2 linked regions of the Oryctolagus cuniculus genome follow. The protein of the gene in region 1 purifies or fractionates together with the protein of each later gene. This does not show direct contact. Links are inferred from orthologs where the notes say so. Each region holds a gene or a part of one and is shown on either strand. Other genes may lie near its edges.

Region 1 (4,526 bases):
AGTTGGATCGGAAGTGGAGCAGCTGGGTCTAGAACTGGCGTCCATATGGGATGCTGGTGCTTCAGGCCAGGGCTTTAACCTGCTGCCACAGCACCAGCCCCGAGGTAGATACTATTATCCCCATTTTATAGAAGAAAGACTGAGGCACACAGAGGTTACATAAGTTGCCCTAGCACACAGCTAGTGAGTGGCAGGATTGGAATTGATTCCACAGAGTCTGAGCTAACAATTTCTGCTCTGTGCAGCCCAGGCTGTGAGGGTCTGTCAAGGCTCTCTCCCTCATTCTTTCTTTCTTTACTCCTCTCCACCTCAGAGAGCTACTGTGAATAAGAGCTGTCAGGTGTGAAGCACTCCAACTACACATGGTGTGTGGTAGTTGTCTGGAGGGTTTGTTTTTACCCTCAGTGCTGGTGGGGTTAGCTCAGCACTGGTCACGTGGCAAGCCTAGTCGGGGGGCTCCTGGGGAAGCAGCTTCGGGAGCTGGGCCTTGCAGAGGGTCTAATGAAGCTCAAAGGGGTTAGTGGCCAGTGTGCTGTGGACCTGGGGCGAGGGTCAGAAGTGAGTCAACAGAGATCCCAGGTGTCTTCAGAGTAGGTAGCCTTTCCCTGTAAACAATGCTAGCAAGCCCTCACCAGACGCTTCACAGGGAGCAAACGGGTGCATAGGAGAGGTCAGCAAGAACGTGCCCCACCTCCGAGCCTGTGCATAGCACAGCACTGAGAAGCACTGGTCACCGTACCACAATTCCGCCAAATCTGTGCACAGCTTGTGTTGACGAGGCAGGGCAGAAGCAGACGCCATGAACCCCTCCCTAACTCACATGGATCCAGCTCCAGCTCCCAACCAGGAGCAAGGAACAAAAGACTCCCTGTCGTCTTGTTAGGGACTTCCCCAGCCTCCACGCAGGCCCAGAAAAGCCCACTGTAACTCAAATGGGACCTGCTTGGACGGTGACAGTGAGCTGCTTGGACGGTGACAGTGAGCAACAGCACCATTTTGAGTTTGTGTGAAAAAAAAAAAAAAAAAAAAGCAATAGTGCCAGCACAGAACTTGGAACTGGCTGCAAAGCGAAGAGCCATGTGCAGAGGGCAGAATCACCCAACCCTAGGAAAGTTCAGCTCCCTTCAGGGATCCAGTGCTGCCTCCCTTGCACTGGAATGCAAGGCCCCAGTGAAATTTGTCAGCCTGGGTGGGTAACATTACTTTCTCATTATGTAAATTAACTATTTTGGCCTAAATAAACAAAAAGGAAATTATATCACTATAGCTAAACGAAAGAATGCAGGTGAAGCATAAAACCCAACACATAGCAGATGCATTTAAACCACTATCAGTGCATAGGTCCCTGTCCTTTCTAAATTTTTATTTTTTTGTTAGCAGATGATACACATTAAAGACACACATAATGGGAACTATTATCAGTATTTCAGCTATTACAACTTGTTCTTATTCTGAAATCATCCTATATGAAGTTTTGTCTTAAAAGACCTCAAAATCGGCCCACCGGACATTCTCTCAGGTCTCTAGGGTCTCTGCAAATTCTTTCGTCCCCGCTGTCCGGAGCAAACTCGCGCGTAACACACAGCAGGGCCAAGCAGGGACAGAAAGGACGGCAAGCTCCACCCCACCTCCGCCCCGCCCCCAGCGCGTGGTCGTAGCCCCGCCCCTGGCGCAACACCGCCCGCCGAGTCCTCTCTGGACGGCGCGATGACGTCACAGGTCCTGCGCCATCTGCGCTTCCTCGCGCCTGCGCCGCGGGCGGAAGGTCGTCCCTGTGACCGGCTTGGCGGTTGAAGCTGCTGTCGCCATGTTGTCGGTCGCCGCCCGCTCCGGCCCGTTCGCGCCGGTCCTGTCGGCCACGTCCCGCGGGGTGGCGGGCGCGCTGCGGCCCCTGGTGCAGGCCGCGGTGCCCGCCACCCCGGAACCGCCTGTGCTGGACGTGAAGCGACCCTTCCTGTGCCGGGAGTCGCTGAGTGGCCAGGCCGTGGGCCGGCCTCTGGTCGTCTCCGTGGGCCTCAATGGTGAGCCGGGCTGAGGAGTCACCCCCTTCTCGCTTCCTTCAGTCCTGGACCCAGGGAGCGGGCGAGGAGGGCGGGTGTCTGCGGGAAGGTGGAGCGGAGCCGTGTCAGGGTGGATCGGGCGGCCGGCCCGGCGCGACCTTGGGCAGGCCCTTGCACCTCCCGGCCCAGCGCCCTCACCTGTGTCGGATGCCGCTGCGTTGGGCGTCTCGAGTGATGCTCCAGCTCTGGCGTCCCCGGCCCCTGGGAGTCCTTTCTTGGCGGGGCGGGGTGGGTTTCCCAGGTTTAGGCCGAACCAGCTGCTTCCACCGAGGCTGATAGCGATGTTGCTTACAGGTCATTTGACTTTGGGCACGTTTTCAAGAGTTTTCCTACCTGTGAAATGGGTTCATGGTTATATCAATTTCGCAGGAATCTTGTGAGGCTTAGATGGAAACATTTTATGTAAAGCCATTGGCATGGTCTAGACATTTAATACTTGCTTTAAAAGAAAAGGAACTATTATTTGTATTTGGGAAGTTGTCCACCTCACCTCTAATATCTTCGGTTTATTTTTTCCATCACCCCCCCCCCCCCAAAAAAAAAAAAAAAAAACTCTCTCCGAAACAACACAGCCCAAAGATGCGTTACAGTGTGATGTGTCAGCAGTGTTTTCAGGCACCTGACCAAAGGGTTCTCACAACATAATCCATTTAACCTCAAGAAGAGTCAGATTAATAATGCTCCCATTTTACAGATAAGAGAGCGGACCACAAGAGGTAAAGTGGCTTACCCGAGGATAAGTGTGGATACATGGTGTGTGGACATGGTAGAACATGGGTGTGACAAGACTGATAATCTTAACCCAGGGCTCTTCCCAGAGATGTATTTCACACTCTGTCAGTAGGTTGCAGATTCTGTGCCTTATTTTCCGTTTCACTTTGCATCTTGGAGACCCTGAAATGGTATGCTGTCGACCATAGGTATGCTGGCAGTACAGGCTCTGGTTTCTCCATGGGTAAAGTCGGTAGTGTGCTGTGTATTAGCTGCTCCCATAGCTGGCTGTGCCCAGTTCGTCACAGTCTTTACCAGTCTGCCTGGCTCCTTGAGTTTGTGACTCCTTCCCTACAAGCTTACCAAGTTGCCTCTCTCTCTTGTTATTCTGCTTTCATGAACGCGATTCTCTGCACTTTCAGTGATTCTCCTGCTGATTTTCACATGTCCCAAGTCCTACCTGCCCTCTCAGTCTGAGTTTAGGATCAGATCAATCACATTTTAGGTTTGCTGATTTCTTTGTCTTCATAGCATATAACGCTTCCTACTCTGTGTTTATTAGGTGATTTCTCTGACCTTGATCTAAAAGGCGATGAGAGTGTTGTCTTTGTCCTCACAGCCTTGGCACAGTTGGCACAAAATATTTGTAATCGAATGTTTTTTAAGGAGCACCAGTGTGTTTTGATGGAGAAGCTGTCTAGGGCAGGGATGGACTACCCTGGCTCATTCCAAGCCTGTTCTTGAGATCTAGAGGTGAGAAAGAAGAGAGGAGAAAATTCAAACGGTGAAAATGAAAAACATCTTTGGAGTTTATTGGTTGGCCAAAGGTTTTCTTCTAAAAATTGGAGGCTTATGTGCCCTATGGAACTATTTTTCCTAAAACAAGCAAATGATTTAGAACCATAGGGAAAACCCCTTTTTTCCTGCGATCATGCCTTCAGCTTGTAGCTTAAGTTCACATAAAATCTCCTGTCTTGATGGTTTATGGGAAGACGGTAGTGAGAGTAGAGGAGGTGTTGGATCAGGAGAATATAATTTTATCTGGGGAGGATGGTTGAACTGTAGTAGCATCTCTTTAATGTGAAAGATTTCCAAGGCACATCAGAACTCACTTTAAAATAAAACCAAAAAGGGCGAAGGGGCAAGCAGGGTAAGCCACTGCTCTGCTTCCAATCCAGCTTCCTGCTAATATACCTACCTGGGAAAGCAGCAGAAAATGACCCAAGTGCTTGCGCCCCTGCCACCCAGGTATGAGAGACCTGGGTGGAATTCTGGGCTCCTGGCTTTGGCCTGGTCTGCCCCAGCTAATGGGGCCATTTGGGGGAGTGAGTGGAAATTTGTCTCTCCTCCTCTTGCTGTAACTCCACCTTTCAAAATAATAAACAACCTGTTTTGTTAAAGTGCCTTACATTTTCTCTATTTCTAGATGGTAGTTCTAGCTGATTTGGTTTGGGTTAAACTAAATTTTGCATCTATGCTACTAAAAGTCAGGCTTAATGTGGCTCATATAAATTATTTAGATAATGGTTTTTGCACATGGTAATTTTTCCTACAAGATTCTTGTTGGTATGGCATAATAAAGTATGACCTGCAAGATAGAGTGGGACAGCTATGTTTTGTTTGCCGCCAAATCTGAATGAGATGGCAAAGCCATTTTATTTAGTATTCTAGTACCTTGTGTACATTAGGGTTAAGGTTATGGATGTTGTTTTTAATGTAGAAGAATGAATTTTGGATCCCTCATCTTTTTTGTGT
Region 2 (4,590 bases), on another chromosome or scaffold:
GAATCCTGATATGTGTTGAAAACAGAAGAAAGATTTAGAGATTTTTCTAGGTTTTTAGCTTGACCAGCTGGGTGAATGGTGATAGAGAATGCTGCAAGAGGAAGTTTTTGTTTGTTGTGGAGGAAGTAAAAACAAAGTTGAACTTCCTGATATATATCCAAGTGGGGGTTGTGAGTAGGTAGCCATGTGTTTCATAGACCATTTTGAAATTAAGTTAACAGGCAGATCAGGAGACAAGTACTTTGGAGTAATTTCTCTATAGGTATTTAAGCTTTTGGATTGAGTGAGAGTTGGCTGTATTTATTATTTAAACCAGCACACTTTTTTTAACATTTAAGAAAATAATTTCCAGTTTCCTGCTATTGAATCCTTGGGAGATAGCCGATGATGGCTCAAGTGCTTGGGCCCCTGCATCCATGTGGGATACTCTGTGTAGTATGGATTCCTATCTTGGCCTGGTCCATCCTGGTTGTTGCAGGCATCTGGGGAGTGAACCAGCACACTGAAGCACGTGCTCTCTCTCTCAGTGTGGCTCTGCCTTTTAAGTGGATGATTAAAAAAAAAACTTAAAAAAGTAGAACTCCAATTTAAAAAAAAAAAAATTTGAGTCACACACACACACACACACACAGAGAGAGAGAGAGAGAGAGAGAGAGAGAGAAGAGACATATAGAACAATTTTCCATTTACTGGTTCACTGCCCAGTGGCCACAGTGGCCAGAGTTGAAGCGGACCACAGCTGGGATTGGGAAACACAATTCAGTTCTCTAGGGCCGGCGCCGCAGCTCACTAGGCTAATCCTCCGCCTTGTGGCGCTGGCACACCCGGTTCTAGTTCCGGTCGGGGCGCTGGATTCTGTCCCGGTTGCTCCTCTTCCAGTCCAGCTCTCTGCTGTGGCCCTGGAAGGCAATGGAGGATGGCCCAAGTGCTTGGGCCCTGCACCCCATGGGAGACCAGGAGAAGCACCTGGCTCCTGCCTTCGGATCAGCGCGGTGCGCCGGCTGCAGCGCGCTGGCCGCGGCAGCCATTGGAGGGTGAACCAACGGCAAAAAGGAAGACCTTTCTCTCTGTCTCTCTCTCTCACTATCCACTCTGCCTGTCAAAAAAAAAAAAAAAAAAATTCAGTTCTCCCATATAGGTGGCAGGAACCCAATCACCTGAGCCATCACCACTGCCTCCCAGGGTCTGTGTCAGCAGGATGTTCACTGAAGTCAGGAGGCAGAGCCATTCAACTACTGTGGAATGCAGGATCTTAACTGCTGGTCAAACGCCCAGTCTGTGATTTAACCTTTTACTTTGACCATTTCAAAGGTACAGAAAAGTGGCAAGAATAATACATAGAATGAGCATATACTTTTTACTCAGATTGCACAAATGTTAACATTTCACTGCAAATGCTTTTGTCCTTTCTTCTACTTTTGTATATATGGAATCTCTCTCTCTCTCTGAGCTGTTTGAAATCAAGTTGCAGACATAAACTCTGCAACTCCTAAATACCTCCATGGGTTTTTGTTCCTCTGCAAGCAAAGGCATTCCCTTTCAGCAGCAGTACTCAAAGTATGGTTCCAGGGCCAGCAGGAACTCCAATTCGTAGGACTCTATCCCAGACCAAATGATTTTGATAATTTTGCTGTGGCTATGAAAGGAGATGTTAACATGACTTCCAATTTCTTACTATCTTAGTAAGAGATGAACATTATTTAGATTTCATCAAATGTCCCAGTAATGTCTCTGATAGCAGCAAATGGGAGTTTTGAAATGAAAGTGAATCACTAATTTAAGAGACAATTTCACAGGTAAGCTGTAATCACACAGGGCAGTTCAGGAGGTATAGCTGATTTTCCTAAAGAAGGACACTTGGAAACTGGGTGTTCGCTAGAGAAGAGGGCCAAGCGTACACCCACTGAGAGGTCTGGAATTGGAGGCTCACGGGGAAGGAGACAGAACATTCAGACAGGTGGGAGCATGAAGACTGTCGCTGAAGGTCAGTAGTGGCAAATAATGCCGAGAGGTCTAGCATGATGAGAACTGGAGCTGCCTGTAGGATTTTGTAAGTGGAGGTCCCTAGTGACCTCAGCAAGAGGGAAATGGGCTCAAAAATCAAAGTTGATGAGCTGGTGTTAGGGTACACTGGATTAAGCCAAAGCCTGTGCTGCTGCCATCTCATACTGGAGTACCGTTTGAGTTCTGGCTGCTCCTCTTGACACCCAGCTCTCTGCTAATATGACTGGGAAAGCAGCAGATGATGGCTCGAGTACTTGGGCTCCTGCCACCCATGTGGGAGACCAGGATGGAGTTCCTGACTCCTGCCTTCTGCCTGGCCCATCCGGGGCTGTTTCCACCGTATGGGGAGTGAACCAGTAGATGGCAGATCTCTGTCACTCTCCTTCTAGCGTCCTGCCTTTCAAATAAATAAAATAAATCTGAAAAGAAATGAGAGATGAGCAAAGTAGACACAGTATGTGGAAAACTAAGAGATAGGGAGGGAGATGCAGGACTGAGGAAGGTTTCGTTCCGTTAAGGTGGAGCATCTTACAGTATGAAGGGCGGCTGGGCAAACTACTTTGTAGAACATTCTAGGGAGGCTTGCAAACTACTGATGCCTGAGTCGCCCCACTGGATACTCTGATTTAATTGCTCTGGCGTGCAGCCAGGTTCAGGATTTTGAAAAGCTCCCCAAATAATTTTCATGTGAATTCAAGGTTGAGAACCACTGCTAGACAAAGAGAGCTGAAGCATGGAGGGTTTAACTGCCCTGGCGAAGACCTTAAGCTGCAGAGAAGTGCAGCTGGGGCCTCAGCCAGCCTGAATTATCAAATCTCTTACAGGACTCAGTTTTTCCCACCAACGTGCCTAGGCGAATTAAGGGCTTACATCCGTGACTCCACTTCCGCGGATCCAAGAAAAGAATAAGTAAATACGGCGCGGGTGCGTCTCCCTGGAGCCACCTCGGCCAGTCCCTGGGGGCGGCTCCCTCGCGGCTCCCGCGCGCCGGCCGCACCCGCCGCCCGGGTCGCCGGTGCGCACGCGCGGGCGCGCTCGGGCCCGGGAGCTGCGGTCGGTGCGCAGGCTTGGCCGCGCGCTCCCGCCCTCTGCCGGCTCCGCGGCTTCCTCCCTTCTCTGCGCTTCTCCCGTGGCCGGTGCGCGGGAGGCAGCCCGAGATGGCAGATGAGATCGCCAAGGCTCAGGTCGCCCGACCTGGTGGCGACACGATCTTCGGGAAGATCATCCGCAAGGAAATCCCAGCCAAAATCATTTTCGAGGATGACCAGGTAGGGACCGGGCGTCGCGTCGCCGGGCGGGGGGCAGCGGCCCGGGGACACGCTGGCTTTCCGCCGAGGGACGGGCCCCCCGCCAGCGGGCAGGGCCGCGGGCGCCCGGAGGCGGCCTGCCGGCGCGTGCCGGCGCTCCGGTTACGCGTTATCAGCGGCGGGCGCGGGCCCGGCCGCCGGGCGTCCGCAGAGCCGCGCCGCGGGGCCCAGGCGCGTGTGCGGGTCGCGCCGGCTCCCGGGCGTGCTCGCCCGCCAGCTCCCGGCGGCCTGGGACCTCGCCGGGGTCAGGAATCTCGCAATCTCGTCAGCGCTCTGCCTGACAGGGAGAAACCCGATCGCGCCCTGACTCGGGCCCAATCTCCGCGATCTCCCGCGCACAGCCGGCCTGCCCTGGCCGTTCCGGGGCGCTGCTCCGCCTGGCGTGCTGCCGGCGGCCTGCAGGCTGCCGCGGCGGGGCCGCTCGGCGGGCCGACCCGGAGATAAGCCCGCGCCCACGCCCGGGACTCGCTTCCCCTCCACGTTCCCCGCCGAAGGTTTCCGCGCTTAGAAGCGGTCGGAAGATTGCTTTTATATTCGACAGGAAACGCTTGTACGTCGAGGAGCTAAAAATGAAGGTTTTATTTGGTTGGTTTCGTTGGAGGTGGAGTCCCTGTTGATGGGTAAATTGCCAGTGTGTAGCGGACTTTGGTATTTGTGGGTGTGGATCTCAGGTACTCAGCTTGGCCAGACGCTTGGTTCGTTTAGTTAGGAAGTTTCTGCAAACATATGTCAGAAATGGGCAGTATAAGAAAACAATTCATCTGACGCTGCTAGTAGTGTTTACTTAGATTTAAAGCGTTAACTAAGATTGAATTCGGTGCCTTAAAAGTGAATTTCGTTTAAATTCGTTTAAATTAAATTATCTGTCGCTCGTTAGGAGGGTCTTTTGTTTTAGAAGCATGATTTCTATCTAAAAGTCCACAGTTAAGTATTATGAATGATATTCGAAATACTGACGTTTGAACCACAGCATGAAGCATTCTAAATGATGCAGCATTTTGTAGGGCGTGCCCGGTAAGGTTTCCCCAAAGACACATACACACGGGTGGCTTTAAGCATCAGTAGAGAGCCGAGGGCACGAAAACAATCATGTCGTAGGTTTAGGAACAGACGCTTCCAGTGTGGTTGCGAATTTGTCTACATGCTACTTAAACTGCTCAGTTCCACAAAAGAAAATGGGCCTATTTCTTTTCTTTCTTTCTTTTTTTTTTTTTTTGACAGGCAGAGTGGACAGTGAGAGAGAGAGACAGAGAGAAAGGTCTTCCTTTGCCGTTGGTTC

The links.
Region 2: the proteins of UQCRFS1 (region 1) and LYRM7 purify together in Homo sapiens (co-immunoprecipitation; 5 studies listed by BioGRID and IntAct, with this or other methods). This does not show direct contact. The link is inferred for Oryctolagus cuniculus from reciprocal best matches to the Homo sapiens genes UQCRFS1 and LYRM7.

The regions. Positions count from the first base shown.
Region 1 is NC_091449.1:26,888,122-26,892,647, forward strand, and holds the start of UQCRFS1 (cytochrome b-c1 complex subunit Rieske, mitochondrial), read left to right. Parts: upstream 1-1,686; 5' UTR 1,687-1,807; coding exon 1,808-2,021; intron 2,022-4,526.
Region 2 is NC_091437.1:19,887,140-19,891,729, reverse strand, and holds the start of LYRM7 (complex III assembly factor LYRM7), read right to left. Parts: upstream 3,011-4,590; 5' UTR 2,846-3,010; intron 1-2,845. Other genes in the region: adenosine 5'-monophosphoramidase HINT1, read left to right, coding at 3,162-3,272.